Diceros bicornis minor: one gene and its partners. The protein of the gene in region 3 binds, or shares a complex with, the protein of the main gene of each other region. Links are inferred from orthologs where the notes say so. Each region holds a gene or a part of one and is shown on either strand. Other genes may lie near its edges.

The links.
Region 1: MYBL2 (region 3) and LIN54 share a complex: the UniProt entries of both Homo sapiens proteins name them as parts of the DREAM complex. The link is inferred for Diceros bicornis minor from reciprocal best matches to the Homo sapiens genes MYBL2 and LIN54.
Region 2: MYBL2 (region 3) and E2F4 share a complex: the UniProt entries of both Homo sapiens proteins name them as parts of the DREAM complex. The link is inferred for Diceros bicornis minor from reciprocal best matches to the Homo sapiens genes MYBL2 and E2F4.
Region 4: the proteins of MYBL2 (region 3) and LIN9 are in contact, whole or in part, in a crystal structure (PDB 6C48), measured with the Homo sapiens proteins. The link is inferred for Diceros bicornis minor from reciprocal best matches to the Homo sapiens genes MYBL2 and LIN9. Residues at the interface, in NP_002457.1 of Homo sapiens: Trp663, Ala667, Cys668, Gly669, Gln674, Met677, Gln678, Ala681, Arg682, Leu684, Leu685, Arg687; in NP_001353174.1 of Homo sapiens: Lys356, Gln385, Arg386, Tyr388, Ala389, Thr390, Val392, Leu393, Leu395, Glu396, Asn399, Leu402, Asn403, Leu406.

What each region holds. Positions count from the first base shown.
Region 1 is NC_080747.1:67,680,910-67,688,231, forward strand, and holds the start of LIN54 (protein lin-54 homolog), read right to left. Parts: upstream 3,166-7,322; 5' UTR 3,097-3,165; intron 129-3,096; 5' UTR 108-128; coding exon 1-107. Other genes in the region: COPS4 (COP9 signalosome complex subunit 4), read left to right, coding at 3,389-3,462. UniProt on the Homo sapiens protein: Component of the DREAM complex, a multiprotein complex that can both act as a transcription activator or repressor depending on the context. In G0 phase, the complex binds to more than 800 promoters and is required for repression of E2F target genes.
Region 2 is NC_080771.1:19,074,798-19,082,508, reverse strand, and holds the start of E2F4 (transcription factor E2F4), read right to left. Parts: upstream 3,067-7,711; 5' UTR 3,038-3,066; coding exon 2,903-3,037; intron 2,469-2,902; coding exon 2,359-2,468; intron 2,218-2,358; coding exon 2,056-2,217; intron 1,735-2,055; coding exon 1,691-1,734; intron 971-1,690; coding exon 909-970; intron 696-908; coding exon 398-695; intron 1-397. Other genes in the region: EXOC3L1 (exocyst complex component 3-like protein), read left to right, coding at 5,103-5,148, 5,355-5,831, 6,647-7,256, 7,336-7,462, 7,597-7,711. UniProt on the Homo sapiens protein: Transcription activator that binds DNA cooperatively with DP proteins through the E2 recognition site, 5'-TTTC[CG]CGC-3' found in the promoter region of a number of genes whose products are involved in cell cycle regulation or in DNA replication.
Region 3 is NC_080758.1:17,298,957-17,306,748, forward strand, and holds the start of MYBL2 (myb-related protein B), read right to left. Parts: upstream 3,014-7,792; 5' UTR 2,833-3,013; coding exon 2,813-2,832; intron 1-2,812. UniProt on the Homo sapiens protein: Transcription factor involved in the regulation of cell survival, proliferation, and differentiation. Transactivates the expression of the CLU gene.
Region 4 is NC_080777.1:7,694,830-7,702,432, reverse strand, and holds the start of LIN9 (protein lin-9 homolog), read right to left. Parts: upstream 3,013-7,603; 5' UTR 2,957-3,012; coding exon 2,878-2,956; intron 1-2,877. UniProt on the Homo sapiens protein: Acts as a tumor suppressor. Inhibits DNA synthesis. Its ability to inhibit oncogenic transformation is mediated through its association with RB1. Plays a role in the expression of genes required for the G1/S transition.

The DNA of each region.
Region 1 (7,322 bases), on a different chromosome or scaffold from region 3:
CCCAGGGTCAGCGAGAAAATCATCGAGCTCCATGGGCTCTGTTGTGTGTACTGCACCAGTTTGCTCACCAGCCTCAGAGTCGTTGGGGGTCTTCTCTGGATCTCCATAGGGGCCACCAAAATGTTGGCCTTAAACAAATAGATAGCTAGTTATTTCTCCAGCAAAAATGGGTTTATTTGGGATCAGCAAACAATTGCAATTTGAAGTCTGCAACCATGGCAAGCCACGTGCAAGTCCCCACCAGCAAGGGAGGAGAAACTCTTTTATAGAGGGGAAGGGGAAGTTGGGAAAGCTATTGTAAACAAAGAGTTTGAGGTGTAGTGGGTCTTCACTGGCTGAGTTTTGACGGACTCTCATTGCTGAGCTTCTGGCTAGTCAAGAAGAGGCAGTCTGGGCTGGCCCCGTGGCTTAGTGGTTAAGTGTGCGCGCTCCACTACTGGCGGCCCGGGTTCGGATCCCAGGCGCGCACCGACGCACTGCTTCTCCGGCCATGCTGAGGCCGTGGCCCACATACAGCAACTAGAAGGATGTGCAACTATGACATACAACTATCTAGTGGGGGGCTTTGGGGGAAAAAAAAAGGAGGAGGATTGGCAATGGATGTTAGCTCAGAGCCGGTCTTCCTCAGCAAAAAAAGAGGAGGATTAGCACGGATGTTAGCTCAGGGCTGATCTTTCTCACAAAAAAAAAAGAAGAGGCAGTCTTTCTTCTTCTTTTGGGTTCTGCTATCTGGGTAAGGCATGAGAGCTTCCCCTTGTGGCCTCCCAACTCCATTTTAATGAGGTTTTTGTTTATTAATGTTCACACTGCTATAAGTAAAACCTAAAAATATGTAGTAGTCTCTTCGAAGTTGGGCAGGAGTAATGAGCAGTCTGGAAAGGGGAGGCCTTGTCATGTCAAAAAATTCAGTAAAATTGCGGCCTACAATAACTAGGATGGCAGACAACCTCCCTTCCTAGCTTGTAGCTCTAGTGGAGATATTTAGAAAGAGCCAGTTTGTGTGTGTGGCTGCTTCTTTTTTGCTTTCAGCAAGGTATTACAAGTAAAGTTTGAAGTCAGGGTAAAAAGGGAATAGAATGTTCCAGAAATTCTGGGGCTTCACTAAGTTGAAAAAGCCAACTGTTTATTACCCCTAAATAGCAGAAGAAAAGACTTAGCTTAGAGAATTCTCATAGCCCATTAAGACTTTTTGGCAAATGCACATAAACAGAAAACAAAGATAAGCTGAAGCAAAAATCAAATGAATAGAGTTCTCTTCTCATTTAAACCTATTGTTTTAGATGATTTCAAAGCTTCCATCACTAAAAGGAGGATGTTAAGAATGGACTGAGTATGGAAGCCGGAAAATAGGGCAAGTTTAATAACTACTAGAAAGAACTTTGGGTGTGGTTACTGGCACCAGAAACTGTCTGGAAGCAGCAGAGGTTACTGAATACTCAATGAAATTATATATATATTGAAAAACCTGGCCTACAAAAGCCCTCAATTGCTCAAGTCCTGAGGCATTTCCCCAAAGAGGGAATACTCTTCAACATCCAGTTAACTTGTATGCAGAGGGCAAAGCTTGGGCCCACAAAATACAACGGACAATGGAGATCCTCTCAGAGAGCAGAACTAGGGTCTAACCAAGGAACTTACTCCACTACGAGGATAGTGAGTATTCATAATTCCTGCCCAGGATTCCACCATTGCTATAGACCAGTAACTGCTGTATGTTTCCCATTTTTATTTTTTCTGAGTTTTACCTGGGGTTATCCTACTCCTGCTCCACTCTTGTTTTGTATTACACGTATGGGTATGGAGCAGATAATTTGTTTTGTAGTGTATATGTCTCTGCACCATAAAAAACCATATCCTAACCTGATGGAGAGGATTGTGCCTTATCAGACATCCTGGAATTTGAGCTAATATAGAAACTAAATGGGAAACTGAATTCTCTTTCTTAGAGGGTGCGAGCGTTCTACTGTAAGAAGGAAACACAGATATTTAGGTGGTCAGAGGGACAGATTGTAGTAGAGAGTGTTGACTGTTCCTCTAAAACCATCCTTTCCTTTTTCCTGGGCACAAGACTGCCAACTGGAAACTAAATTTCCAGTCTCACTGTTGCTAGCCATGGTCATGTGACTAAGCTCTTGCCAATAGAGTGAGATCTGAATTGATGTGGGCACTCCACATTACTTTCTTAAAAGGACTTCCTTATTCTGGGCTTCTTTCCTCTTCTCAATAGAGGGAACATGCTAATTATGACATATCAAGCTGGTAAAATTAGAACGTTTGACGTTCTTTGTAGGCAAGGCTGTAGAAAATTGCACTCCTACATATCGCTGGTAGGAAGGCAAAAAAGTACCATCCCTATAAAGTGCAATTTGGCAGTATCTATCAAAATTGTAAGCACATCTACCCTTTGACTCTCTTCTTGGAATGTATTCTACCTGTACACATATAAAATGATGGATGTACAAGGTTATTCATTGTAGCATTGACTAAAAACTATTTAAGTGTCTAGTTTAAGGATTAAATAAGCTACGCATCCCCTCATTATGTAATACTCTCCAGTTCTAAAAAAGAATGAGGAAGCTTTGCAGACTTATGGTAAGATCTTAGGAAAAGTGAAAAAATCAAGGGCAGACTAATGATATGGTGTGCTATCTTTTGTGAAAGCAAGAAAGGATAAAAATGTACTTTTATTTGCTTATATTTGCAGAAAGAAATTCTATACGGATATATGAATAATGAACATAATTACATATAAACGTAGGGTGACCATATACTTTTTCATCCAAATCAAAGTGTTTCTAGAGTGGAAGGGCGTGTTATTAATAATTACCCCAGGACAACAGATGGAAAATGCCACTGTCCTGGACAAACTGGGATATATGATCAACTTATACAAAAGGTACAGAGTGGGAGGGGGAATGGGGTCATTTTTTACCGTATTTTACAAAAGTGTCGGTCTTTGGTGAATTGGAAAAAAAACAGCTCCTTCTTTACCACAGGTAGTTTAAGGACTGCCTTAAAGAACGAGGATCGGTAAACTATAGACGTGACACACGGAACTTAATGAAAACGCGATAGTTTTGCATACCCGACACTTACCGGAGTTGCACAAGCGACACACTCCCTTGAAGTTCATCCTCCAATCCGAAGTGGGAGCGTGAGAGCCCCAGCCTGTGGGAGAGACCTGCTTGGGCCTCGGACTCGAGGAGTGGAGCTTCGCGTCACTCAACCCTGGGGGCGGACCCAGCGCAGGCTCCCACCGCGGCGCTCTGGCCCACAGAAACGCTACTCTGTGGCATCTCGAGTTCCCTCTGGCTGCACTCTGGAGGACTACACTCGTTTTCTTTCTGGCAGTGGGAGGCCCTGCAACCTCGGCTGAGCTGGAGGAAAGATGGCGGCAGCCGTGCGACAGGATTTGGCCCAGCTCATGAATTCGAGCGGCTCTCATAAAGATCTGGCGGGCAAGTGAGTACTTCTCAGGGGCATGGGAGGTGGGGAGGGAAACCACAGACTTGTTCTCCTGGGGTTGATGGCGGCTTTCGCATGTGAGGCTAGGCGCTGGCCTGACGACCAAGGGGGCGGGCCTGAGGTCGGTTATGGAGGCAAATGTTGGGATCAGCAGAAGGCTGAAGGGGACCTTGTGCAGGGATCCCTCGGGGCCCTAGACCTAGGGTGACTGTCAGCTCGTTCAGTCCTTGAGAGCATCCTTACCGGTCTCGTAAAATTCTGGAAGCGCGGTCTGAGGGACGACTGCTCCCACGGCCTTCTCAGCCTTCTCTGGTGCCTCTTCCCATCGCTCTCTGGCCTCTCACACCGAATTCTCGCCTCTCTTTGGACTTTTTTTTTTTCCTTTTTGATTGAGGGAAATTTATATTCTGGGCCTTGATGCAGAGTTTTGCGGGGAGATGGCTTTTTGAGGCTGGTGGGGGCTGAGGAGGTATGGCCGCTATCATGTCCAGAACCCCTCGGACCGTCTTCTGTGGGTCATTGTTTTGGGTACTCTCTCTCCGCCACCAGCTCTGAAAAAGGGCACATAGGCAGAATGTCTTCATAACGTGGGTCAGGATGTCTAGAGTAGTAATGTTTGCAGGAATCTGGATTGTTTAGGAATTTTGTCGGAATTTGTGTAGAAGGCTTAGGTCCACTCCAAGTTAAAATTTGTGACATGTCCCTCTCCTGCAAGCAGTTATTCAGCAGTGTTAATCATAGGTATTGTCCGTTTTTTCTTTGTAGATTTCACTATACTGTTCTTTTGTAATGAACGTGCATTCTGTTTAAAGTATGCTTCTCAAATTGATCCTAATATTTACATCCTGACAGCTGAGATCACTTTGATCTGTATTGATGGGATACACCTGCTCTAACCGGGCTGTTGGAACCTTGACTGTGCTTTATGTAGGCTGTGCTGCCTTTTCTGTGGTGGTGAATGTAATCTACTTTTATCAGTGGGAAATTTAGCTGTGTATCTTAGGCTTAACTATTTTGTGCTGCAATTTCTCCCTCAGGAAAATGGGGATAATTATAGGACTTATTCTTGTCTGAGAACGAAATGAGTATGTGTGTGCGTATACACTTGTGTTATATCACTTAGAACAGTACCCAACACTTAGAAAGTGTCACAAAATTGTTGTTATTATTACCCAGCTAGTAAATATATATTGACTTATTCCATGGGTTGGAAATAAGTTGAATATGTCTTCATGGCTTAATCTTCTTTGCATGTAATTTTTATAGAATGGATGAAAGTAAAACTAGCTTATATTTTCCCGCATGCTTGCTTGCTTTTTTGTTTGTTGAAGAAAAATAAGTGCGTTAGTTATCAGAAGAGATATAGTTTTTCAAGTATTTGCAGAATTCTGAAACTTAAGCTAAGCATTTACTTCAACTCTGAATTGCAGATAAACAGTAGTACCTATCTTATAGAGTGCTTCAGTTATTTATTGTTGTGTAACAAACCAAAAACTTAGTGTAAAACAACTGTTATTTCTCAGGATTCTTTGGGCTCTTTTGCTGGTCTAGTCTGGCCTCCCTCATGCAGGTGCAGTCAGCTGGCAGCTCAGCTGGGGCTGGTAGGGTAAAATAGACGCAGATGCACATCCGGCTGTTGGCTGGGTCTCACACTCTCTCCACGTGGTCTGTCATTCAGTAGTTTAGCTGAGGCTTCCTTACAGGGCCATAGGAGTGTTCCTGGAGGGTAAGAGTGAGAGCTGAAGGTCTGTTAAGGCCAGCCTTGGAAGTCTTGCAACATCAGTTCCCTGATACTGGTCAAAGTAAGTCACAAGCCCAGCCCAGATTCAAGGGGAGGGGAAATGGAGTCTACCTCTATGGGAGCAGTGGCCAAGTTATGTTGCAGAAGGGCGTGGTCAGAGGGAGGCATGATTCATTGGAGTCCGTTACTGTCACAATCTACTCCATGGGGTTATTGAGAATGTTAAATGAAATAATGTGCTTGATAACTGATAGCCAGTGTTTTGTGAGAAAAGTCTTGGCCTTGCCTGGTCCTATCTGGGCAAGAATGTGTCAGGGTATTTCTTTTCGTAACAAAACAGTTCTGCCAGCTAGTGCTTTATGAGAGAAACACTCTTGAAATATATCAGTAGTTTTAGGGTTTATGTTAGGAGCTGAGTAACAGGATTCTATATTAAGGAATCATGGAGAAAATTCTTTTCTAAAATATTGATACTCTGTGTTCCCTGCAGTTAGCAGGATATCTATAACAGAGTAGTTATTCAACAAATGTTGGTTAAATCAATGAATAGCTAGAAATGTGCAGAGCTTATATTTGAACACAGGTTTGTCTACTCTAAAAAGCTCATTTTTAACCTTACCAGCCTATACTGCTGCTGTTGCCAAAACTTCAATTAGAAATGCTTTCCTATAACTATGAATTAACACAACAGTCTAAAATCGAAATAAGAAATTGGCCATATGAGAAGCATATTTGCAGATTTTATAAACTGCTTTTGTACCTATTATGCATTGTGTTCATCATCTCATATAACGCTTTAGAAGAGGAGAGTCTTGAGAGGGAGCATTTGAGTAGATAGATAGCTGTTGTGATAGCCTGTCTTATTGAATTAGCTAAAACCTACTTGGTTCTTCGAAACTCAGTTCAGATGTTATTTCTTCCAAAAAGCCTTCTCGGAACAACCACCAGTACACACTCGTGCTCACCCCACACGGGACCTGGGTGGTTGCTCTTCCTGTGCCTACTGGCATCCTATATTTCCCTCTACTATAGCGCTCAACTGTTTTCTTTACTTGTCTGCTTCTCCAACTAGAATGTGATCTCTTTGAGGGCAGGTATGAGGTCATGGATTATAGGTCTTTGTTGAGTTAATCCTACAGAAATAGGACCTTTTTTTTCTTTTCTTTTTTTCCCGGTTCTGGGGTATGGAGGATCCCCAGAGGAGCATAGTGGGCCTTTGGAGTATAAACGTTTCATTTTACAGGAAGCTGTTAGCCTGGAGAAAGGAAAGTAATGGGAGACCTTTTAGCTGCCTTTGACTATTAGAAAAGCTGTTTTTCAGACAAGAAAATAGACTACTCTGCCTTATAGACGTAGACTTTGGATTAGAACTTTGTAATAATAGAGTGGAGTAGAACTGTCAAAAAATAGAGGATACACACACACACACACAACCAACCAACCAACGGAGGATATACTGTATAACTTCATAGGCCCCTTCTAACTCAGATTCTCTGGTTCTCTGTTGTTATTCCCACACACAACAGTTTTAGGGGTTTTCATCTCAAGAGTGAAGTTCCCTAACATCTAGTGTTCACTGTGCGCCAAGCACAACTTTACCTACATTTTTTAATCCTTAACAAGTAATATTGTTTACGTTATATATGAAAAAACTGAGGTATAGAGGTGAAATACCTTGCTCCAAGGTCACATAGCTAGTGGCAGAGACAGAATACAGCCTGTCAGCTTGGCTCATAGCCCTTAACTCTAATCGACCTTTTGGCCTTTTTCACCAAACTGGACTACATTTCAGATAGTGATTTTTTGCTTAGAGTGCCTGCCTTTCCCTAGTCTTTGCCACTTCACACTGAGTTGAAGTATTTAGAATGCTTCAAGATCGACCTCATTAGTAAATTATTTCTTTCTCCTAAAAACTATATTAGCAGCTACCTGTTTTTAAGATTTTGTCTTTAATTTTCTGCAGCTTCGTTATCATGTATCTATGTGAATTTTTTACTTTTCTATGTCGGTTAGCTTTTGCTGTGAAATAAACCACCCCAAAACTTAGTGGCTTAAAACAGCAATCATTTATTTAGCTTACAGTTCTGTTGGTTGGCAGTCTGGGCTGGGCCCAGCT
Region 2 (7,711 bases), on a different chromosome or scaffold from region 3:
CTACATTCCTGGTTCCCAGGCCCAAGGCACTGCCAGCCACCTCTGAAGAAGTAACCTGGAAATGAGTCACTGAAGGAGACAGGGGCATGAGGCCTGCAGGAGAGAGACTCATGGACCACTTGGCTGCTGTGACCACATTTCAAGAGGGGCTGCCAGGGCAAGTGAGACACAGGTGGATCCGGGGGAAAACTGCCACCACTAAGGCCCTTTCACACAGTCAGAGATTCTCTGTTAAAAAGGGCTCATCGGATGCCATAGGGGAAGCCAGTTAGGGGCCAGGAAAGGGACAACCCCCCCAGGGTCTTTTCCAACTCTGAGTATGGCATTCCACAACACAGAAGTATTGCCTCTTGGGCCCCAGAGATCACCCTATAACCAGCTGCCCGTCGTGCCTCACCTGTGATCTCAGCAGCTGGACTGGCCACCCCTGGGGCTTCCATGCTGCCGGGGACAGGATTAGGGGTGGTCACCTGGGGACTGCTTGGGCGTGAGGCATCCTGGGGCTGGGCCAGGGCAGGCTTGGGCAGAGGCGAAGGGGTAGAGACAGCAGGTGGGCTCTGGAGCAGATCTTCGGGTGGTGGCACAGGCACTGCCACGGGTGGTGAGCTCCATGCCTCCTTGTTCACCAGCAGCACCTCAATGGGGCCACTCACACTCTTCAGGTGAATCTGGTACTTCTTCTGCCCATTGAGGCCCTGGAGGTGGGGGACAGGTGGAAATGGAAGCAGGCTTGGCTCCTGCCTGACCTGGGGCCAGGGCCACAGTATCCTCTCCCACCCCAGGCTGCCCGTCCTCCTAGATAACCCCAAACCCCAGGCACCCCCCTACCTGCCCCACCCGGGACTTATCGGGTTCCACAGCCAGCACCCGCCCTCAATCAACCCCGCCTGCCTGGGCTGAGCACCCACCTCTGGGATGGGCACCTCCAGGCTGGTGCCTGATGGGGCCCGGATGGCCAGGAGGGTGTCTCCTAGAATGACAAGGAGAATAGGTCAGGGCCTATGGGCTCAATCTGAGCTGGGAATGGGGGTGCCTATCCCTTGGAACAAGGATCATGGTCTCTGAGGGGGTGGACAGTAGGCCTTACCCATACTCCACAGTGGCTGAAGCAGAGAACTAAACCTTTTCTCCTCCCAAGAGCCCAGGGATCAGTAACCAGTAAATCTAGTTTCAAACATGAGGCAAACACTAGTTTCAAAGATCGCTGGCCTTGGGCATCTCACTTCTCAATTGATGGGGCTGCTGCTCCCTAGGTGTAGGTGTTCAGGCCAAGGCCAACATCCCTTCCCCAGGACCAATCTGGGGGATGCAAGATGGAGAAGGAACAGTTCCTGTATTCACAATGCAACTAACTACAGGTTGGAAATGGGCACCTTTGCCCCCTGCATACAAGCACGCACACACACTCTCCCCCTTATGCCTGTCACGCCTGAGAAGCCATACTCGGGGACAGTGCAGATGGTGGCTGACCTGGGATCCAGCCCAGGATTCTTGTACCCTCTCAGTATGGTTGGCCTCCACAGGGTCCCAGTGACCCTCAAACCCAGGACTTACCCTGCCTGGTTCCTCTTTGGCAGGCCCCAGGAGCCCTCTTAAGAGACAGAACTCTCCTTGGGCACTGAGGCCACTGCTCAGAGCTGTGGCTCAGCCCATGCCCTCCCCCATCTCCCCCTACCCAGGCTCTGCTCACCAGCAAAGCATCTGCAGATGTCCTCGTGAGTCACGTAGGCCAAGGTGTGGGGGTTAAGGAGAATGGCTGATGCCCTGCCTATGGTGACAGATGGCAGACACAGAGAAGACCCAGCTCTTTAGCAAAGGTCTGACATACAAGCCCTCAAAGAAAGTCCTGGCCCTTGGGGTCTACATGGGGAGGGATCACAGGCCAAGACGGGTAAGGGAGGGGCTCCGAGGAGGCAGCCCCAGGCTGGGAGCTGGCCAGGAGCTGCAGGACCATCCTCCCAAGAGTAATAGGGCCTAGGGTACCAGAAAGCAAACCCAGCTGGACTAGAGGGCCCCTCGCCCACTCCCTGGGAGCAGGGACTGCCAGGAGGATATCAGCTGTTCTGCACGTCCTCTGTGACGTTCCGGATGCTCTGCTGCACCCACACCTTGTGCTGGTCCAGTTCTTGCTCCCGCTGCTGCAGCTCCTCGATCTCTGCCTTGAGCTCAATCAGCTTGTCCGCAATCTCTCGGGTATTGCAGCCAGGCCCCACGCCTCTGAGCCCAGGGAACGGGGCTGAGAGGGGCTGCCAGGAACTCTGGGTCCCATGGCCCCTACTCTCTCCTGTACCCTCCACCCCACACCCCTGACACTTCCGGGTAGGAGATCCCATCGCCCTCCCAGGTGTCCCCACTCACTTCCACTGGATGCTATTCTTGGATTTTTTCTCGATCAATCCGATCCCTTCCAGCACGTTGGTAATGTCGTAAATCCGCCGCTTCTGGCGCACAGCTAGGGTGTCAGCTGCCTGGCAGACAAAACGGAGTGGAGGACGCTGAGCCGCACTCTCAGGTGTACTCCCAGCTACCTTGAGACTTGGTCTGGAGTGGTCAGGAAAGAGGGTGGCCTGGGCCCCAACCCTCCTCCCAGGCACTACAGCAGCTCAGGACCGCGGCGCGGGAAGTGGCCTGGCACAGCCTAAACTGATGTTCTGATGCTGTTCTCCCCACAGCAGCCGGGGAGGGCCACGAGGACCAGCACCTGCAGCCCCGAGCCTGACACAGCTGACGCCCAATAACCTCGGCCGAATGAATGAAACAGCTCCCGGCCTCCCTCCTGTGAGAAAGCACACAGATGGCGGCCTACTCTCTGGGGCTCAGCGGGGCCGCCCCGGGGGGTTCCCGCTACCAGCCACAGGCCTGGTCCACCATCCTCCCTGTCGCCCCTTAGTCCGGGCCGCACCAGCTTGAGGTCAAGCACGCCGTCCTTGGCCTCCTGCAGAAGCGACACGAACTTGGTGGTGAGAAGTCCCAAGCTCTTCTCATGCCGGCTTGGGGTACCCGGAGGCGGCGGCGCCTGTGGCCCGGCCTCCGCCATCGCGCCTGCCCGCCGCCTCCCCTCAGCCAGGCCAGGCCAGGCCGGCGCCCCCGCCACTTCCGCTTCCGTTCCTGGCCACCCGGCCGCCAGCGCCAGCGTCGCTGATTCCGCTTCCGCCCCGCGCCCTCCCAGGGAACCCGGCGCAATTCCTCTCTGCCGTCAGGGCCGAAAACTTCGGGGACCATCAGCAAATGTCCAACCGCCAAAGAGGACGAAAACAACCGACGCGCCCGGGAAACAGGATATGGTGCCGAGGGAGGAAGTCGGTGGGCAGCCCTGGCAGTAGAGAAGGGGGAGCCACTGGAAACTTACTGGCTGGCCAACTTGCCCCAACTCCACTAACTCTGCCCCATCCCCCATCTTGGGAGAGGAGACCATGCTGCCTGATGAACCCAATGTGTTTCTCCAAACCTGCTCCTAGAGGCTGCCCCGCCTTCTTGGGGCACCCTATTCCTGTCTCTCATTTCCTGCCAACAGCAAGCACTAACTACATCTAGCTTATCCACTTGTCTCCATCCCCACCCCCCTTCCCTGTCCCAGCCTCATCTTTCTCTTGTCTCCATAATTCAGTGCTGAGAAGCCATGGAATTATAACTACTTTTCAGCCAATGCAAACATGTTTACCTATATGTAAATATATATAAAGCACTTAGAGCAGTTCCTGGTGTGGAAGGATTATGTGTTTGCTAGTATCATTTTGTTATTTTTAACATTGTAATTATTTATTATTGTTTATTTTAGGTCAGGTTCTTTGGGAAACAGACTTTGAGACAGGGATTTGGCTGCAGAAAGTTTATTGAGGATCCACACTTGTAAGGGAGTAAGACAAACAGAATTGGGCAGAGAGGGGAATTAAACTGTGATGCAGTTATAATAGAGGGCTCAGCTCATCCTACTAGGAGCTCTGAAACTGGGGTGGCCCTTCCAAGGCATTCCACGTTCAGGCAAGGGTAATGGGCCTTTGTGCCCTAACATTGACCAGGACACTCAGCTGTGAGACCTCAGCAGCCTACACTCCTGGCGGCTAGGGGAACTAGTGTCTTTGTCCTGAGGATGGATTTGGGTGTGCACCAGAGTCCACTGCATTATGACTACCTTTTAGTCCCTTCCATGGCCCCCTTTAACTCTCAAGATAAACACAGCTTTCATAGCCCTTCCACCCTCTCCTGCCATCACCCACCACACACCTTCTTCACAACAGCCTGCGGTCTCTCCTCTACAGAGGCACACACCCTCCTCTGAGGGGTCCTTCCACATGGTTTTCATTCTGTGATGTTGTTGTCTGCATCCATATTGGCACACCCCACTCTCCACCCCAGGTTGGGGCCATCGAGTTCATGTCCATGTCCCGAGCATGAAGAGATCCTGGGTAGGCTGGTCAAGACTCAATGATCACAGGGCGTACACCCCCCTCCCCCCAAGGAAGTGGTGCCCAGCCCTCCCCGCCCCATCTCACAGTGCAGATGTTCTTTCCTGTTGGGAATAAAGCACCAGAGACTCAGCTTCCTTCCTTTCTGCATGTGGCCTTGGGGAGGGAGGGGCCTTGGAAGGAGGAGGGGGCTCCTGGGCAGGGAGGTGGGACAGAGGCTTCCTTGGGGAGAAGAATTCTGCTGCATGCCGAGGTGTGGGCCACAGCCACCCAGGCCTCGTGAGCCAGTGGAGGGAGTGTCCAGCTCTGCTGTGAGGGCCGGGGGAGAGGGCCATCCTCAAGGCCAAGGCTGTTTGCGGAGGAGAGAGAACTGGTCAAGCCTGGTGAGTTCCAAACCAAGCTGTCCTCTTTAACGCAGAGCAGGAACGGGGTCCAGCAGAGGCCTGTGCCTACCCTGCCTCACTTGGCACCTGCTGGGGCAAAACTGAGAAACCCAGCAGGCAAGGGCTTCTCAGGTGCTTCCCCATCACACCCACCTCCCTCTCATTTCCTGAGGGGGCTGGGCAAGGACCTCTCTCCTCCTTCTCAGAGGGGCCTAGAGGGAGGCTGCAGCTCAAAGGAGGATCTACTCTGCCTGCTCTAACCCAGACCCTCACCCCCATTCCTACCTCAGCTCCGGCTCCTCCAGGGCCTGCCATGGACTCAGCAGCCAAGGACGAAATGCAGCCGGCTCTTCCCCCTGGTATGAACCCTCTGGGTGGGCTGAGGGAGGGACGGTGGCAAGAAAGATGGGAATGGTGGGATTGGGTCCTCCCTGCCAGGTCTGGCTGGAGCTCTATAGGGCAGTGAGAGGAGTGACTGCCCTGGGGGACAGGCTGAGGAGTAGGAAGGGGAGCAGGTTCGGCGGCCACTTCCTGCAGGCCCTGCCCAACTGACGTGGCTGCCCAGGCTCTTCCTGCCCAGGGCCTGAGTGGCCGGAGCAGGAGAGGGCGGAGCGGCTGGCCCGAGGCGCAGCACTCAAGTGGGCTTCGGGCATCTTCTACCGGCCGGAGCAGCTGGCCAGGCTGGGCCAATATCGCAGCCGTGAGGTGCAGCGTACCTGCTCCCTGGAAGCACGCATCAAGGTGGGCAGCAGGCAGGGGGCAGGAGTGCTGGGGGTGGGCTGCAGGGCTGGCCAGACATCACTGGCTGCCTCTCTCTCACAGTCGGTGGTGCAGTCATACCTGGAGGGCGTGAAGACTGGGGTGTGGCAGCTGGCTCGGGCCCTTGAGGCCGTGCAGGGAGTCCATGAGGCCCTGGGCCAGGCCCGCGGGTTGCTCCGGGGCATGGCAGAGGCAACACAGACCCTAGAGCCGCTGCGAGAGCGGGTTGCCCAGCACAAGCAACTGCAGGCCCTGTCTCAGCTGCTGCCCCGGCTGCAGGCAGGTGAGTGTGCAGGGGCACTGGGCCTCAGCCTTCCAACACTTAGTCAACAAATGCCCATCACTAATCAAGGGGCGGGGGCACTAGTGAGAGACTGCATGGAGGGACACACCACAGACCTCCCAGAGAGTAACTTAGGCTTCAAATGGCATATGAAGCAGGGTGCAAGTCAGCTCATTCTGGGGTTCCCAAGCATGGGATGTCTGAGTCAGGACTGACACCCAGTCAAGCAGCTCTGGACACCCTCATTGTTAATATGTTGAAATATCCCTAAAAGAGTGGGTGAATAGCCACTAGCATGGTCCCCCAGTTCCTCCCTGTCTTCCCTCCAGGATCCCTGACTTCCTCACGTTCCATCAGCTCAAGGGTTTACACCAGGCCCACCAGGCTGCTAGGACCTTCCCTGGCTCCTTTCAGATTGGCCAATGCTCTACTGTACCAGTTATTAAATATTTTATTTATTTATTTATTTATTTTTTGTGAGGAAGATCAGCCCTGAGCTAACATCCATGCCAATCCTCCTCTTTTTGCTGAGGAAGACCGGCCCTGAGCTAACATCCGTGCTTGTCTTCCTCCACTTTATATGGGACATCGCCACAGCATGGCCTGACAAGTGGTGCATCGGTGCGCGCCCGGGATCCGAACCTGGGCCGCCAGCAGCGGAGTGCGTGCACTTAACCGCTACACCACGGGGCCGGCCCCGGTTATTAAATATTTTAGACATCACCGCAGCCCCAGGGCCTCAGCATCTGCTGCTGTACCCATTACACAGGTGAGAAGGCTGAGACCCAGTGCTGTCTTCTTTCCTCCATCCTTAGTGCCGGCTGCAGTGGCCCACACACAGACCCTGATCAGTGCCCAGCGGCTCTTGGAGGCATATGTGAGCCTTCGGGAGCTGGAGCAGCTGCGAGAGGAGACCTGGGCACCTCTCGGGGGCCTGGAACTGCCAGTCTTCGAGGGGCTGGGCCATCTAGCTGAGGCATTGGGCCAGGCTGTGGAGGCAGCTGCAGGGGCTGCGGGGCAGCTGGCACGGGAGGACCCAGCCCTGCTAGTGGCTGCTGTGCGCGTGGCAGAGGTGGATGCTGGGCATACAACCTCCCTGGAACAGGCTCCTCGGGACTGGCGGCAGCGCTGTCTGCAGGCACTACAGGAAGGCCTGGAGCGGATCCACTTTGGAACACTGTTGCCTGGGCCTGGGGCCCTAGAAGGGTGGCTGGAAGCTCTGCGGGTGGCTCTACCAGCCGAGTTGGCCACAGCTGAGGCACTAGTAGCACCCTGCTGCCCACCACACTACAAGGTGGTCCAGCTCTGGGCCCACACCCTGCACAGCGGCCTGCGCCACTGCCTGCAGCAACTCCTGGAAGGGCCTGAGCTGGGAGCTGCTGATGCCTTCACCTTGCTGCATTGGGCACTGCATGTGTACCTGGGGTCAGTGCCCTTGGGGCAATGGGAAGTGGGTGGGTCAGAGGCTGGGGGTTCAGCATGACACTGGGCTATCCATCTCTAGGCCAGAAATGATGGGGAGCTTGGAGTGCCTGGAGTTGGGGCCTGAGGCTGACGTGTCTCAGCTGGAACCCCTCCTGACCGCAGAGAACATAGAACATCTAGAGGCAACATTTGTGGCCAAAGTCCAGGTGAGTAGTTGGGGCCAGGTCCAAAGAAGCTTTGCCACCAGCTGTGGGCCTGTATCTGTTGAGTCACATGTCTACCTGTCTCTAGCAGTATCAGTGTCCTGCTACATCCTGCTGCCCCTTGCTCCTTCCCCTAGGCAAGTGTGGCCCAGTGGCTGCAGAAAGCACTGGATGGGGAGGTAGCCGAGTGGAGCCGAGAGCAAGAGCCTGACACAGACACGTCTGGCTTCTACCACTCACCAATGCCGGCCA
Region 3 (7,792 bases):
CACACAGACAGTTTATGGAGTAGAAGCAGCTTTGAATTCTCGATGTTTTTAATTTTCTAATAGGCAATTTTCCAAGTTGCTCCAAAATCCTCATATTTATTAGGTTTAAATGGTTACAAAAATGGAGATCATGGGGCCGGCCTGGTGGCGTAGTGGTTAAGTTCCTGTGCTCCACTTCAGCAGCTGGGGTTTCACAGGTAGGATCCCGGGCACGGACCTACACACCACTCATCAAGTCATGCTGTGGCCGCATCCCACATACAAAATAGAGGAAGATGAGCACAGATGTTAGCTCAGGGACAATCTTCCTCAAGTAAAAAAAAAAAAAAAAAAATGGAGATCATACTATCCATCTTCAGGGATGTCAGGTGCTGAGGGAAGGTTAGTAACCTCCCAACTCCACGTGGTGGGGCCTGCATCAGGTCACCTGTCAGGTACGTTCCTAAGGCAGGTATTTCTAAGTGGGAAAAGCCTACACATCTCCAAGCAAGCAAGGCAAGCACAAGCCGTGTGCCAAAAGAAGGAAGAGGGCTTCCTTTTGTGTCCACACTCCTTTCCCCTTCTCCAGATCTCAGCACCTTCCTGGAGTCACTCCCGTGTTCCCACAGCACCTTGGAAATCCTCCTGTCTCAGAATGTAGACCCTTAGGCTGCAACTGCCTATCTCCTTGACATCTTCAATAGAGGTCAGCTCCACCTCCACTGGGCCAGGATGGGAGGTGGCACCAAAAAGGCCTTAAGATATGTTTGCTCAGGGAATGACCAGATACACGAATAAATGAATGAATGAACATGCAAAGCTGCTGCTTGTTAGTTGAAAAGAAATACTAATTAAAGTAAATTTTTTAGAAGTAGGAAAGGAAAGTATGGTGTCTAAACCCAGCAACACATCAGTCACAGAAGGAGCTGGAACGCAGCCTTGCCCTGTCATTCCCGAGCCCATACATGGGGTCCTCCACCATCACAAAGTAGGAGGCAAGACATCTACAAGACACTAATAACAGAATGAAGTGGGTTTTAAAATTAACTGCCCCCAGACTCCTTTCTGACAGAAACGATATTTGGTTCTCCAGCACCCAGCTTCTAATCGAAGCTCAGCAAATGTTCTTTCAAGGATGAAAAGGTATCCGTGTGTACACTCTCTGGTGCTCCAATCCTCTATTTAATGGGGAAGCAACTCAGCTGAGAGAATTCTGTGAGATAATACACTTCCGTCAGCAACATGGTGCTGACCAACCACTTCATAGGCACTTTCATTATCCCCATTTAACAGATGAGGAAACTGAGGCTCAGGGGTTATGCCACTTATCAAGTCCACAGAGCCAGGCTCCAAACCTGCACCTTCAAGTCTTCACCAAGTAATCACAGCTGAAAAAGCAGAGGCCAAGTCAGTGGTGGCAACCACGTGTAGGTCCAACACACCCTTTCTATGCCCTTCAATGTGCTGGGCTCTGCTCCAGGCGGGGTGAGTCAGAAGCTGAGCGGGAAGTGGGGCACTGGTGCAGAGGAGAGCTACAGCAAGTGGCCAAGAATCGAGCTGAGGGCTGTGGGGTGCCAGGTGCAGAACCTATCCCCCACCTGGGAGGGGGTTCCTCCACTGAGCCCCAGGGGAGAAGTGGCAGAGGACCTGGGGGTTGTCTGGGGCTTTGTCATTTCCTGGAGTAAAACTTCCTGAATCAAAAGTCACAACAGGGTCTGACAAGTGCCTAACCAGAAAACTCCTGGGACTCCGAGCAGCCCTGGGAAATCGTGACCTGAGGAAGACAGACCCTGTGCCAGGTACCCTGACCACTGCCCAGGGATCAGATGTCTCCTCGCTGAGAGGAACTCTGGGGAAAGCCAGCAATGAGTGCTTCTCGGGTCTACATCCTCAGCCTGAGAAGGCAAACACCATCTCAAGACGGGTGTAGGGTTGTCTGGGCTGCATGAATCCAGGCAGGGGTCAAGACAGGACCCCCTTTGTCCTCCCTGACTCCCAGACTGGCTGAAAAGCCCAGAACTCAGGTCCCAGGCGCACAGGTGTAAGACTGGGACCCGGAGCCCACAGACCTGGTTCCAGGTTCGACTCTGCCACTTATTCTCTGGGGGAATAGGTAAAATGGAGACCACAGTTCCTGCCGTGGCCCCAGGGGCTGCTGGCACAGAGTGGTCTTGATACACATCAGTTTCTCTTCCCCTCACCTTCAACCCCAGCTGCCCCAAACTCCTCACGTGGAACAGGAAGACAGGTCTCTGAAACTAAACCGAGCTGGGGCCCGGAAGCCAGGTGGTGGGGGACAAAAGGGCCCCCTCCCCCACAGCACCCTTCTCAGGGCAGGGGAGAGGACTTGGGGTGTTCTGTGCTTCCCCAAACGTTGAGAATCGCCAAATCTGAACCAAAATAGGTTTGAACGACAAGTGTCTTTCAGGCTTTGGCCTCCTGCTCACTGCGACTTGGAGCATCAGTTTCCCTCTCCAGGGGTCGCCTCCCTCCCCGGTAAAGGCCCTTCTAGCTGACACCGCCATTCCACCCCCACCCCGCAATTAGGCGGGAGACAAAATGACATCATGCAGGGCTTGGCCCGGGTCCCAGGAGACCCGCCCGCCCCGGCTCCGAGGCCCAGCAGGCCCGGGGAGCAGAGCGAGGGGTCCCCAAGAGGCCCCCGTCTTCGCGAGCGCCCCCTGCCTCAGGCGACCCAGGGCTCAGCATTTCCCGCAGAACTCGTCCCCCCGGCCCCGCTCGGAGGGACCATGGGGGGGGGGGCAGGAATCGGGGTGGAGGGGGATGGAGTCTGCGGAGGGGGAGGGGCCCTCAGCCGCCCGGCCCCGCTCACCCGCGCGTCCGCCGAGACATCCCCCCGGCCCGGGCCGCGCCGCGCTCGCCCGCCTGCCGGCTGAGCCCGGAGCGGGAGCCGGGCCGGGGTCAGGGCGCGCGCTGCTCCGGCCGCTCCGGGCCCCGGGGCCGCGCTGGGAGGCGTCAGCGTGTCCGCAGGTCCCGCCGCCTCTCGCAGGAGCTGCAGCCGCCGCCGGCGCGCACAGAAGCACTTTTCTATCTCCCGCCAAGCGCGTCGGCGCCGCCCGGGCCTGGCGCGCGGGCGGGCGGGCTGCGCGGGGCGGGGCCTGCGGGGCGGGGCGGGGCCTGCGGGCCGGCAGACGGGCGCCGCGCCGGCCCAGAGCCCTGAAGCCCGGGGCGGGGAGAGCCAGGGGTGCGACGGGGCACTGGGAGAGGCGGCTCTGAGCTGGCCACCGGGTGACTGAGGCCCGGCCCAGGCCCAGTGTGGATCCGGGGCGGCCCTGGAGTAGCCCCACACGGCAAAGGCTGAGGAAAGGGAGTGAGGGGCAAGGATGGGAGAGTCAGGCCGGGGAAACCGCCTGCGCAAAAACCTCAGCACTAGTCCAAGCCGCTCTTCGTCCCTACGGCCCCCACCCTAAAGCGGCCCCCTCACCCCTACGCCTCCCTGCTTCCTCTGCAGCCTCGAATTCAATGGCTCCACAGCCCCCACCCTAAAGCGGATCCCTCACCCCTACCGTCTCCCTGCTTCCTCTGCAGCGTGGAATTCAATGGCTCCCGCTCCTCAGGTCCACTCCTGGCAACCCGAAGGAGCCTTATAAAATGCAAACCTGAGCTTGCCTCTCCAGACTTAAAACTTCTCTCCTCTCCCTCAGGGTAAAAGACTCCATAATCAGGTTGATAGGATTCTGCCAGATCACCACCCCGCCCTTAGCCAAAGGAAACTGGCTAGCTTCTGTTGCCTTTGCTTGGGCCATTACCTGGGCCAGGAACACTTCCCGCCCATCCCTCCCAATTATCCCTGGGGTCCACTGCCCGCAATCTGCTTGTTGACTTGTGCGTTTCCGCCTTTGAACTATGGGCAGGCTGAGGTCCAAGTGGCCCCTCAATTCACTGCAGTATCCCCAGGGCCCAGAATTCAACAGCTGAGTTGAATTCAGTTTGCCACATACTTAAACTCCTAGAGACTTGGCAAAGATTTTCCATTCTTTTTTTTTTTTTTTTTGGTGAGGAAGATCAGCCCTCAGCTAACATCTGATGCCAATCCTCCTCTTTTTTGGTGAGGAAGACTGGCCCTGGGCTAACATCCGTGCCCATCTTCCTCCATATTTATATGGGAGGCCGCCACAGCAGGGCTTGACAAGCAGTATGTCGGTGTGCGCCTGGGTTCTGAACCTGCGAACCCTAGGCCGATGCAAGGGAGCGTGCACGCCTAACTGCTGCGTCACCGGGCAGCCCCGGATTCTCCATTCTAAGTTGCCATTTACCAAGCACCTCCGGAGTGTCATGCCACACCAGGCTCCCTGGGCGGAGTGCTGAGACAAGGTGAATGAACTATGAGACAGGAGCCTGGAGAGACCTGGCTGAACTCCAGCCTCTTAGGCCCTGCTTATGCCTTAGATCCCTCTTCCAGAAACTGCTGGCCACCTGGGACAGTCCAGCCAGCTGCTGCAAACTTCATTTACCACAGCAGAAGGAATACTGACATCTTAAGTGCTAGAAGCTTCCACATCAATTAATTCAGGGCTTCCCCCACCTACTTCTCTCATAAAGTAATTCATGTGGACATTCTGTCTTCATTGTCAGAGCATAATATTTAAGAGTGCAGGCTCTGAAGCCAGACTTCCTGGGGTTTTATGCCCAGCTCCATCATTTACTAGTTGTGTGATCTTAGGCAAATTCCTTAACTCCTCTGTTCCTCAGTTTCCTCATCTGTAAAAATGAGATTTATCAAAAACTTAGATAGCTTTCACTATATTCCAGCCACTGTTCTGTATGCTCTGTAAACTTTATTTCATTTAATTCTCATAACAACCCTATGACGTAGTATTAATATTATCCTCTTTTGGCAGATGGGGAAACAGACACAGGCCTCCCCCACAGGTCACACTGCTAGTACTGTCAATGGCAAAGCAAGGATTCAAACCTGGGCTGTCTAGTTCTAGAGTCTATGTTCTTAATCACTATACTGGTACCTACTTTGTAGAATGGTTGTGGGATTAAATAAATTAATATGTGTAAACCACTGAGAACAATCCCTGGCACATAATAAGTATGATATTACTTTTAGTTATTATTATTATTATTATTATTATGACTCTTCACCTGCCCTAATGCTTCTCCTTTGAGGTCCAGGAAGCTGCTTTGCACACAGCACACACTCTCACATGGATTATTTGTCCCATTTCAGGAGGGAGACAGGACCTGGCAGCTCCAGCAAGGCATTTGCCCAAGGCAAGAGGCAGGGAGCAGCTGGAGAGTCTCCCTGGAACCTGGAACTGGGGCCAGTTGAGCAATACACTAGAGTCTAAAAAGCCTGGAGTCAGTGCTCCGAGTCAAGGAGCAGGGAGATCACCCTGGTGCCAGATAGAATCTGGTAATCTCCACAAGTGTGTCTTCTCCAGTTATCATCATACCAACAGACAGCCCCTAGAGAGAGGATTCCAAGTGTCCTGGGTGCAGCCACAGGTGGGAGTGGTCCCTGGGCCCAGGACCGATAACATACAGACTGCACTCTACTGGGAAACTTCCTGGACATGCCCTCCTCAGACAGGGAGGCTCTAGTCCTCTGGTCATTCCATAATCTGCCCCACTCCAGGCTCCACACTCAGGGCAAGATAGGATCTGACTTGGGGAGACAGGATCAAATCTACTTATTAAATGCTCAGGGCCCAGCACTAGGCTGGACACAAAACAAACACTGATTGACGACAAGCAATTGACAACTAGGATCATGTGGCCCTTCTGCTTGGCGTCTTCCCCTCTACCTACTGAGCACCTTCCTTATCAACCTTGTCCTCCCACCATACTTCCCTCCACCCACAATTTTATTGTTCTCTCAAGAACAGGGACAGCCCCACATTCACAGTCTTAGCTTCATATCTTTACCATAATGTTTGGCTCCTTGTAGGTACTCACGGAAGAGGTTTTAAACATTTTTTAATTGAATGAATTAAATATTATAAAGCTAACATTTGGGCTGGAGTTAGGAAGGCACAGACTAGAACTGAAAGGACTTAGATTGCTCGAGTTTGAACTGTATCTTGTAAGATGTGAAACATCAAAAGGGATTTTTAAACAAAAGAATGTTTTTCAGACACTTCTGCCCCACTCCCAAGGGCATCAGTGTAGAGGACAGAGTCATGGCCACAGGCATGAGAGTCCAAGCACCACAACTGGACATGGGACACTGTCTACAACAGGGGGGATCCCAATGCAGGGAAAGCAATTCGGTTACCTGATTCAAGGAATCAGACCTCTACAGAGAAATTTCCCCACCCACTTCTCAAAAGATTGAGATTTTATGAATAACTCTTTGCAAAGGACCTATCTTTGAGTTCCAGAAAAGGATCAGCAAAGTATCCAGATCAGAAAATAATAATAGCTGGATTTTCCTGGGGAAGACACCATATGCCAGGCACCATACTAAGAGCTTCACATTCCTTTTGCATTTAATGCTCATCTGTATGTGAGGCAGGTACCAATAGGTTCCCCATTTGAAAGATAAGAAAACTGAGGCACCAAGATGTTAAGTTACCATGATCACACAGCCAGTGGACTGGTAGCTTGAAGCAAAGCACCCATAATTTAAAATGTAAATTTGGAGAGTACTGTTTGTGAAAATACGCTGAAATGATCGAAGCTGGGCTCAAGCCTGGGGCTAGTCATGAGATGATCCAACCATCCATACTCTCCAGAAGCTCCTCAGCTGATAGGGGAGACAATGAGTAAACAGAAAATCAGCTCAATACAGGTGAAGGTAAACTACAGGGGTTGTGGATGCCCAACCAGCGGGGTCACTAAATGTTCTTCAGAGCTGGGTGATTTAGGAATTTGCAAGGTGGCCAATGTGGGGAATGGCAGTTGAGGCAGAGGGAATAGCCAATGCATGTCAGGGAGAAGGAATATAAGAAGTACTCAGGGACTGGCCAGAGATGAAGAGGTCATTCTTGACTCTTCTCTCACATTACTTATCTGATCCATCTGCAAATCTTATTGGCTCTGCTCTCAAACTCTACCTTCAAAATATATCCAACGGCAAAAGCACATGAAAAGAAGCTCAATACCATGTCATTAGGAAAATGCAAAATAAAACCATGAGATTTACACACCTACTAGAAAGGCTAAAATTGAAAAGACTAATCATATCAAATGTTGGTGAAGATGAGGAGCAATCAGAATTCTCAAATACTCCTGGTGGAAATGCAAAATTGTACAACCACTTTGGAAACAGTTCAGCAGTTTCTTAAAAATTTAACATATATACCTACCATGTGACCCAAGCCATTCCAAGAAAAATGAATGCATATGTCCGCACAGAGAGTTTTACATAGCTTTATTTGTAATGGCCCAAACTGGAAACAACCCAAATGTCCATCAATAGGAGACTGGATAAAGAAATTATAGATATAAAACAAATATATCCATACAGTGGAATACTACTCAGCAATATAAAGGAATTATTGACACAATATGAATCTCAATCATGTTGAAAGAAGCCAGACAAAGAGTATATACTGTATGATTCCGTTTATACACAATCCTAGAAACTGGAAATCAATCTATAGCGGGAGAGCCAATCTAAAGTGACAATGGTTGTGAAAAACGGATTACAAAGAGACAAGAAACTTTTGGGGAGTGATGGTTATGTTCCATTTGCATGACTCTAGGGTTCCCTCTTCAATCACTGGGAGAAGTGTGGGGTCACTGATCACAGGACAGGGCAATCAACCTTGCCTAGGTCTGTCCCGGCTCACGCCAGCCCCAGCTGTGTCCTCACTTATGCAATTGCAAAGGGTGAGAA
Region 4 (7,603 bases), on a different chromosome or scaffold from region 3:
GAAGTTAACTGGCAGTGAGAGGAAGGAAGAGCCCTCCAGGCAGCGAGAACAGCATGTGCAAAGGCCCTGCAACAAAGAAAGCCTGCTAAGTGCAGGGAATGAAAAAGGTCAAGTTTAGCTCAAAGGGACAGAACGAGAGGAAGAGTGGTACAAAATGGAGCTGGAGTGGGGGAGTGGCCAGGCCACAAAGGGTCTTGTAGCTACTGAAGTGTTTTAAGCAGCAAGATGACACACACACATTCTGAGAGGATCACTCCGGCTATGTGTAGGTTGGAGGGGGGGCGGTAGGCGAGGGGTGGTGGGTCAATGGGAGGCTGAAGTGCAGAAGAGATGGTGACAGCTTGGGCCAGGGTGATGGTGAGAAGTAGGCAGAGCTGAGAGACATTCAGAAGGTAAAAGTGACAAGATTTAGTAAAGGCTTAAATACGGGAAGTGAAAAACAGGGAAGTGCTGAAGATAACTTCTAGGTCTCAGCTGAATGCAGTGGAGCCATTCATTAAGACGGGGCCCCCTGGGAGTGTCTCTGTCCTGGGCTGGGATTATGAGGTAGATCTTGAACCCAGGAAGTTTGAGGGGCCTCTGAGGTGCCTAGAGGAGATGTGAAATAGGCAAGAGATATCAGGTACAGGAGCTCTGAGGAAAGACCTGGGCTGAAGACAGCCTCAGTGTCCTCATATATAAAATCAAACTAACACGACGACTTTCCTCAATTGAAATGAGGATTAAACAAGCAAATGTATGTAAGACGCTTTGCATAGCATCTGGTTCATAGTAAGTACTCAATAAACGGTACCTTTTATTATTGATAATGTTATACTGGCTATTGGCTAATTTATTAGCTAGCCCCCTTGACTAAAACTGGCAAAGAAACATACAGCTATTTCCAATATCAAATTGAAATCACTTTCCCTTTTCAGGACTCTGCTCCAGTTTCATTCATAATGCCTCTTACCCTACGTGCAATTTCATATAATCAAGCATTTCCGTATACCTGATTTGTGGCACTGTGTGACAAACCAGGTAAGGCGATCCCTTCTTTCTATGAGCTGTGGTCAAGGTCAACGAGACACACAGCACACAAACACGCACGCCCACACCCCCCCAACCTACCAGAGATGTCACAAAGCAATATCAATGATTGTTATATAGTTTGCGAGTGGAGCTGGAATTAGAACCCTAGGATGAGCCCCAAGTCTCTACAAAGAACCATAGTAAGTCCTCAATTAACGCTTAATGATGATGAGCCGATATTCTAAATGACAGTTATAAGAAAGCCACTTAAAACACCTCTCATTTCACCAGAGTGACTACGGTAACCAAAATAACAGCTCTAGTGGCTGTGACTTTTACGAGGTGACAACACATCTTCATGATAAAGAGAGTGAGCCTTTTCGGATGACAAGCACCTTGTGCTTAGTAAGTAGGCCCACCCTCATCTAGGAGCATCTTAAACCAGTCAACTGTATTCTCCAAACAAGAAACAAGAAAACTCACGCATGGTCTACAGTTGTGGCCTGTCTCATACAGTAGCCACCAGCCACACGTGACTATTTAAATTAACAAAAATTACGTGATCTTTATGATTTGGGTCCTCAGCCACTCTGGCCTCACCGGAAGAGTTCCACAGCGCGTGTGGCTAGGGGCTACCCTACTGGACACTGCAAAATAGAACATTCCCGTCCCTGAGAAAGTTCCATTGGAATTTAGCGTTGGTCTAGAGCAAATCTGAAACATAAACTCTTTCAATCCAACTTTTGACCAGCTGGAACTTTTAGTGCAACTTTATAACACATTAAAAGTCTATGACCCCACAGAGGAAACGGAATCGGCTGTCTCTGGCTCTCATTTTGAGCGTCTATCTGCCTCTGGCGCAGACAGATTTCACAGCCATTGGGCCTTTTTTTTTTTATCCTCAAACTCTCACACATAGCACGCATCCATAAACTGAAGAGCGAGTGTGGATCAGGACCCTTCTGTCATTAACTAGGAGATCCGCCTTTTTGCACACCTTACACAATCTTGTAAATGACAACAGTAAGTTCTCTTGTGCCGAGACTACGACCTCCGTGCTTTTACTGACAACACCAGTGAGCACACCTGTGCGAGACGGCAGGGTGAGTGACAGGAGGGTGTCAGGGAGGGGACAGTACGCGCGTGCTGCGAGGGTCACACCCGGCTATCAAGGCGCCCCCGCGATGCTGAGGACGCGCCCGCACAGAAGGGGGGTCTGCGGGCTGGGGGCCCCCTCGACACTGTGCCCCCCGTCTGGATTCTCTCCGGGAAGGTCCACGGCCACCTGTGGTCCCAGGGGAAGGGGCCAGCCCTCTGACACGGAAACACTTCCCGGGCTGGACACGCCGGAGGAGGGGGAGGACGTGCAGATCGCAGGAGCCTGCGGAGGCAGGAACCGACAGGACGACACCGGAGGCCGGAGGCCGGGGCCGAAGCAGGCGCTGGCCCCCGGCCCGGCCCGGCCTCCCCCGGCCCGGCGGGTTACATAAGCCCGCCGGGCGCCCCGCGCGCCGGGCGAGCGGGCAGGCGGGCGCACGGCCCCCGCGGCCGGGGCCGCTCCTCCCCACCTCGCCGGGCCCCGAGTCGGGCCCGGGAGCGGCCCCCGCCTCCGCGCGGCCGGGCCCGGGCCCCCGGGCTTTCGGTTTCCGGCCCTGGCGCTCCCACAACCCCAGAAACCAGCACACCGACACCATAACAAAGGCGGCGACGCGGCGGCAACCGCGGGGTGCGAGGACCGGGGGGCCCCGGCGGCGCTGGCAGTCGGCCCGCCCGCTCGGCGGAGGGCACGGCCGCCCGTCCCGGCCGCGGCAGCCCGGGGGCAGGCGGCCGGCGGGGAGAGGGGGGGTGCTGGGAGCCGCTACTCACTCTCGTCAGGCAACTGGTCGAGCTCCGCCATCTTGAACGAGCCGCGCCGCTTTTTCAAAGGCTGCCCGCCGCGGTGCATTGTGGGGCGGAGACTGTCTTTGCGAGGGAGGTTCGAATGCGGAGCTCGGCGCTCCCGCCGCGGCGCTGCCGGCTGAGGCGGGCCCGGCCCCGCCCGTCCGCCCGCCCGGGGGAGGGGGCCGCGCCGCGCCCCTCCGCCCCCGGCCGGCCCGGCCCGAGCGAGGCCCGTCTCGCGCCGCCCCTGCCCGGCCCGGCGCCGGAGCGCGGGGGTGCAGCGCGGGCTCCCGAGTCCGGCCGGCCCCCTCCCGGCGCGCGCTGGGCGGCCCGCGCTGCAGCTGCGGGCGCTGCAGGCCGTCTGTTCCGCGCGGGGAGAGGGCGGGACGGCGGGAGGCGGCACCGGTGGGCCCGGCGCGGGGGGGAAGCCCTGGCTTCGTGGTCACGTTACCCGGGGGGGCTCTGCTTCCAGGCAATTTCTCACGGTTCCCAAACCCACGTTTCCCCGGCGAGCCCCTCCCCTCCGTGCGCTGAGAGCTGGCGGAGGGAGCGGGGAGCAGGGTCGGGCCGCCGCCGCTCCGTCCACCACTCGGGGTTCCCCAGCCGGGGACCCCCTCCCGAGTGTCGGAACCGGGGCTGCGTGGAGCCTGGGAGGGGGGCCGTGAGAGGTCGCGGAGTTAGTCGTTTAGGTCGGCAGCTGAACTGTTGGGCTCAGCTCTTCCGTCCCTTCGACACTTCGACCAGGTAGCGAGCTGGGAGAGAATTGCAGACCCAGTGCCTGGAGGATACAGACAAAAATCGACGGTGACTCGACAAGAGGGTCAAGTACCGCCGTCGAAATGTTACGAGAACGCTAGATGAGAATTCATCCCGTTTTGAAAGAAGCCTGGGGAAAGATGTCACAATTCCTGTCTGTAACGCTGTCCGGTAATAAACCACTGTTGCTTTTCAATAATGTATTTAACAAATGTTACTGAGCTCCAATCCTTGCTCTCCAGGAATTTATGAGGGGTCGGGAGATGGGATAGTTAGGCAATGACAATACAACATGGGTGAATTCCAGGAGCTGAAAAGTTGAAAGGTGGTAGACGCAGATGAGGACAGAGCAGTACACAGAGGCCAGCCCAGGCTAACGGAGTTGGACTTGCTAAGAGCGTGGGAGAATGGAGAAGTTGGGTTTTACATAATGCGGATGGCATGTTTCCCTTTGTTGTAGAACAAAAATGTGGGAAACGGATTGGAGTGTGACAAGAGGAGAATCCTGGAAATTAGGAGAAAGCTTGTTGGGGCAGGCAGGCAAAGGCGAGGAGAGAGGTGTCTGCACTAGCCACCCTAGAGGTTCAGAGGGTGGGCTCTGGTGCCCCAAGGCCTGGTTAGGATTCTGGCTGCTGGTTGTATCATCTCAGGCAAGTTGATTTGTTTTTTCTTTTTTTTATGAGGAAGATGAGCCCTGAGCTAACATCCATCACCAATCCTCCTCGTTTTGCTGAGGAAGATTGGCCCTGGGCTAACATCGGTGCCCATCTTCCTCCATTTTGTATGGGACACTGCTACAGCATGGCCTGACAAGCAGTGCGTCCTGCATACCCGGGATGGGACCCCAGGGCAGCTGAAGCGGAGCATGCCCACTTAACTGCTGCGCCACCAGGCCGGCCCCTCAGGCAAGTTGATTTCTTAACTTAATTCTCTGTGACTTGGTCTCTCATGTCATTGGTGATGCCAACTTTGTGCCTTGGATAATTGGGTGCTGCCACTTTTGAAGTAGGCGGGGGAGGAGGGTGTAGGCAAAGTAATCTTACAAAGTAATTCTTCCTTCACTGATCTACCTTCTGAGAAGACGAAAAACAACTGATCTGTTGTCGACACCTGCGGGGTAGGTCACTATCAATTTGGAGATGAGTTCAAGGAAAGGTCAACCTTTGAGAATGAAAGGATAGAAATAAACAACCAAGTTAGGGTAGGTAGGTAGGTTAGGGGAGTGGGAGAAGTTGACACTTTGTGACTGTAACCCGTGGTCAGTGTATCATGAGACCCACGGGAGCCAAGTTTTATCCTAAGGCAGTTTTCACACACTCACAACAGCAGGTCTGCTGTTTAAATAAGTGTTTTTAGGCCCTTCCTCTGATAATCTGAATTTTGAACAAAAACCCTAAATGTGTCTTACACTCTGAAGCCGAAAGCTATATCCCAGCCCCAGATCTACCACTTATTAGCTGTGTGACTGTGAACAAGGCCTTTCACTATTATTTGCAGTGAGGTTCCTTGCTGAATATTTATGACACAGGTTTTATATTCATTGGTTTACTTGATTCTCCCAACAACCTGATAACTTGTTCAAGGGCAACATTGACCAGGTGATAGAATCGGGAATCTGGGCCACTCTCAGTGCCTCAGTTTCCCCCTCTGTGATGTGAGGATAACATCTATCAGAGGACTGGTAAATTTTAAATTGTGCATTTCAATTTAAAATGACGTGATTTATAAGAGTCATTGTCTGCTTTAAAAAAAAAACTAACAAAATTTGGACAAGGATGTTAACTCATGAAGAATCTAGATAAAATACACCATAAGAAAATCAAACATTGCCACATTTTGTGCATATCAGGTTTGATCATTTCCAGTCCCATTGCCCATTTATCAGATATTGAGTTATTTCTGTGCAAACTTGCATGCTTCAAAGGACACTATCAAGAAGGTAAAAAGACAACCCTCAGAATGGGAGAAAATATTTGCAAATCGTATATTTGATAAGGGACTTATATCCAAAATATATAAAGAAGTCTTGAGGGCCCTCCCTGTGGCGTATTGGTTGAGTCTGGAGCACTCCGCTTTGGTGGCCCAGGGTTCACGGGTTCGGATTCCAGGTGTGGACCTACACCACTCGTCAGCCATGCTGTGGTGGCGACCCACATACAAAATAGAGAAAGATTGGCACAGATGTTAGCTCAGGGCTGATCTTCCTCAAGTGAAAAGAAGAGGAGGATTGGCAACAGATGTTAGCTCAGAGTGACTCTTCCTCAGCAAAAAAAAAAAAGTCTTACAACTTGATAATAAAAAGATAACCCAATTCAAAAATGGGCAAAGGATACCAAAAAGATATAATAAACCAATAAGCGTGTGAAAAGATGCTCAACGTCATTAGTCATTAGGGAGATGCAAATCAAAACCACAATGAGACACCACTTCACACTCACTGGGGTGGCTATAATAAAAAAGAGAGATAGTAACAAATGTTGGCAAAGTTGTGGAGAAATTGGAACCCTTGTTCATGGCTGGTGGGAATGTAAAATGGTACAGCTGCTGTGGTGGTTCCTCAAAAAATGAAACATAGAATCACTGTATGATCTAGTGATTCCACTTCTGGGTGTATACCCAAAAGAATTGAAAGCAGAGTCTTGAAGAATATTTGTACACCCGGGTTCATAGCAGCAGCGTTCACAGTAGTCAAGAGGTGGAAGCAACCCAAGTGTCCAACGATGGATGAATAAACAAAGTGTGGTATACACATACGATGGAATATTAGCCTTAAAAAGGAAGGAAATTCTCACATATGCTACAACAGGGATGAACTTTGAAGACAATCTACTAAATAAAATAAAATCACAAAAAGACAAATATTGTATGATTCTACTTATATGAGGTGTCTGGAGTAGTCAAATTCATAGAGACAGAAGGTAGAATGGTGGTTGCCAGGGGCTGTGGGAGGAAGGAACGGAGAGTTACTGTTTAGTGGGTACACAGTTTCAGTTTGTATAGATGAAAAAGTTCTGGAGATGAATGGTGGTCATGGTTGCACAGCAATGTGATTGTACATAATGCATAGACTAAAATCCAGAACAAATGGTATACAACGGTGGCTATCCCTGTGTGGTGGGATTATGGGTGATTTTTATTTTCTTTGTATTTATCATTTTTCTGTAGTAAAGTTTTTATTACTTTTATAAAAAAGGTATATCCATATAATGGAATATTATTCAGCCATAAAAAGAAATGAAGTATTGATACATGCTACAACATAGATGAACCTTGAAAACATTACGCTAAGTGAAAGAAGCCAGTCACAGAAGACCACATATTGTATGATTCCATTTATATGAATTGTCCAGAATAGGCAAATCCACAAAGACAGAAAGTGGTTGCCCAGAGGGGGGGCGGGGGGGCAGGAATTGGGAGTAACTGCTAAAGGGTACAAGGGTTTCTTTGTGGACTGATGAAAATGTTCTAAAATTGATTGACTGTAGTGACGGCTGCACAACTCTGTTTATATACTAAAAACCACTGAATTGTACGTTTATTTTATTTATTTATTTTTTTGGTGAGGAAGATTAGCCCTGAGCTAACATCTGTGCCCATCTTCCTCTATTTTATGTGGGATGCTGCCACAACATGGCTTCATGAGCCATGCATAGGTCTGCACCTGGGGTCCAGGCCTGCGAATCCCTGGGCAGCCGAAGCAGAGCCTGAGAATTTAACCTCCATGCCACCAGGCCAGCCCCTGAAGTGTACATTTTAAATAGGTGAATTGTATGATGTACGAATTATATCTCAATAAAGCTGTTACAAGAAAAATCTTATTTTCAGACTTTTGGGGTTTTTTCTCAATCTAAAATCTTTGGTAGTCACCTTTTACAGAATCTTTTCCTAAGCCACTAAGGAAGATGCAAATTTGAAGCCCTCTGCTGGGCAATTTGAAATGATAGCTATAAACAAAAGC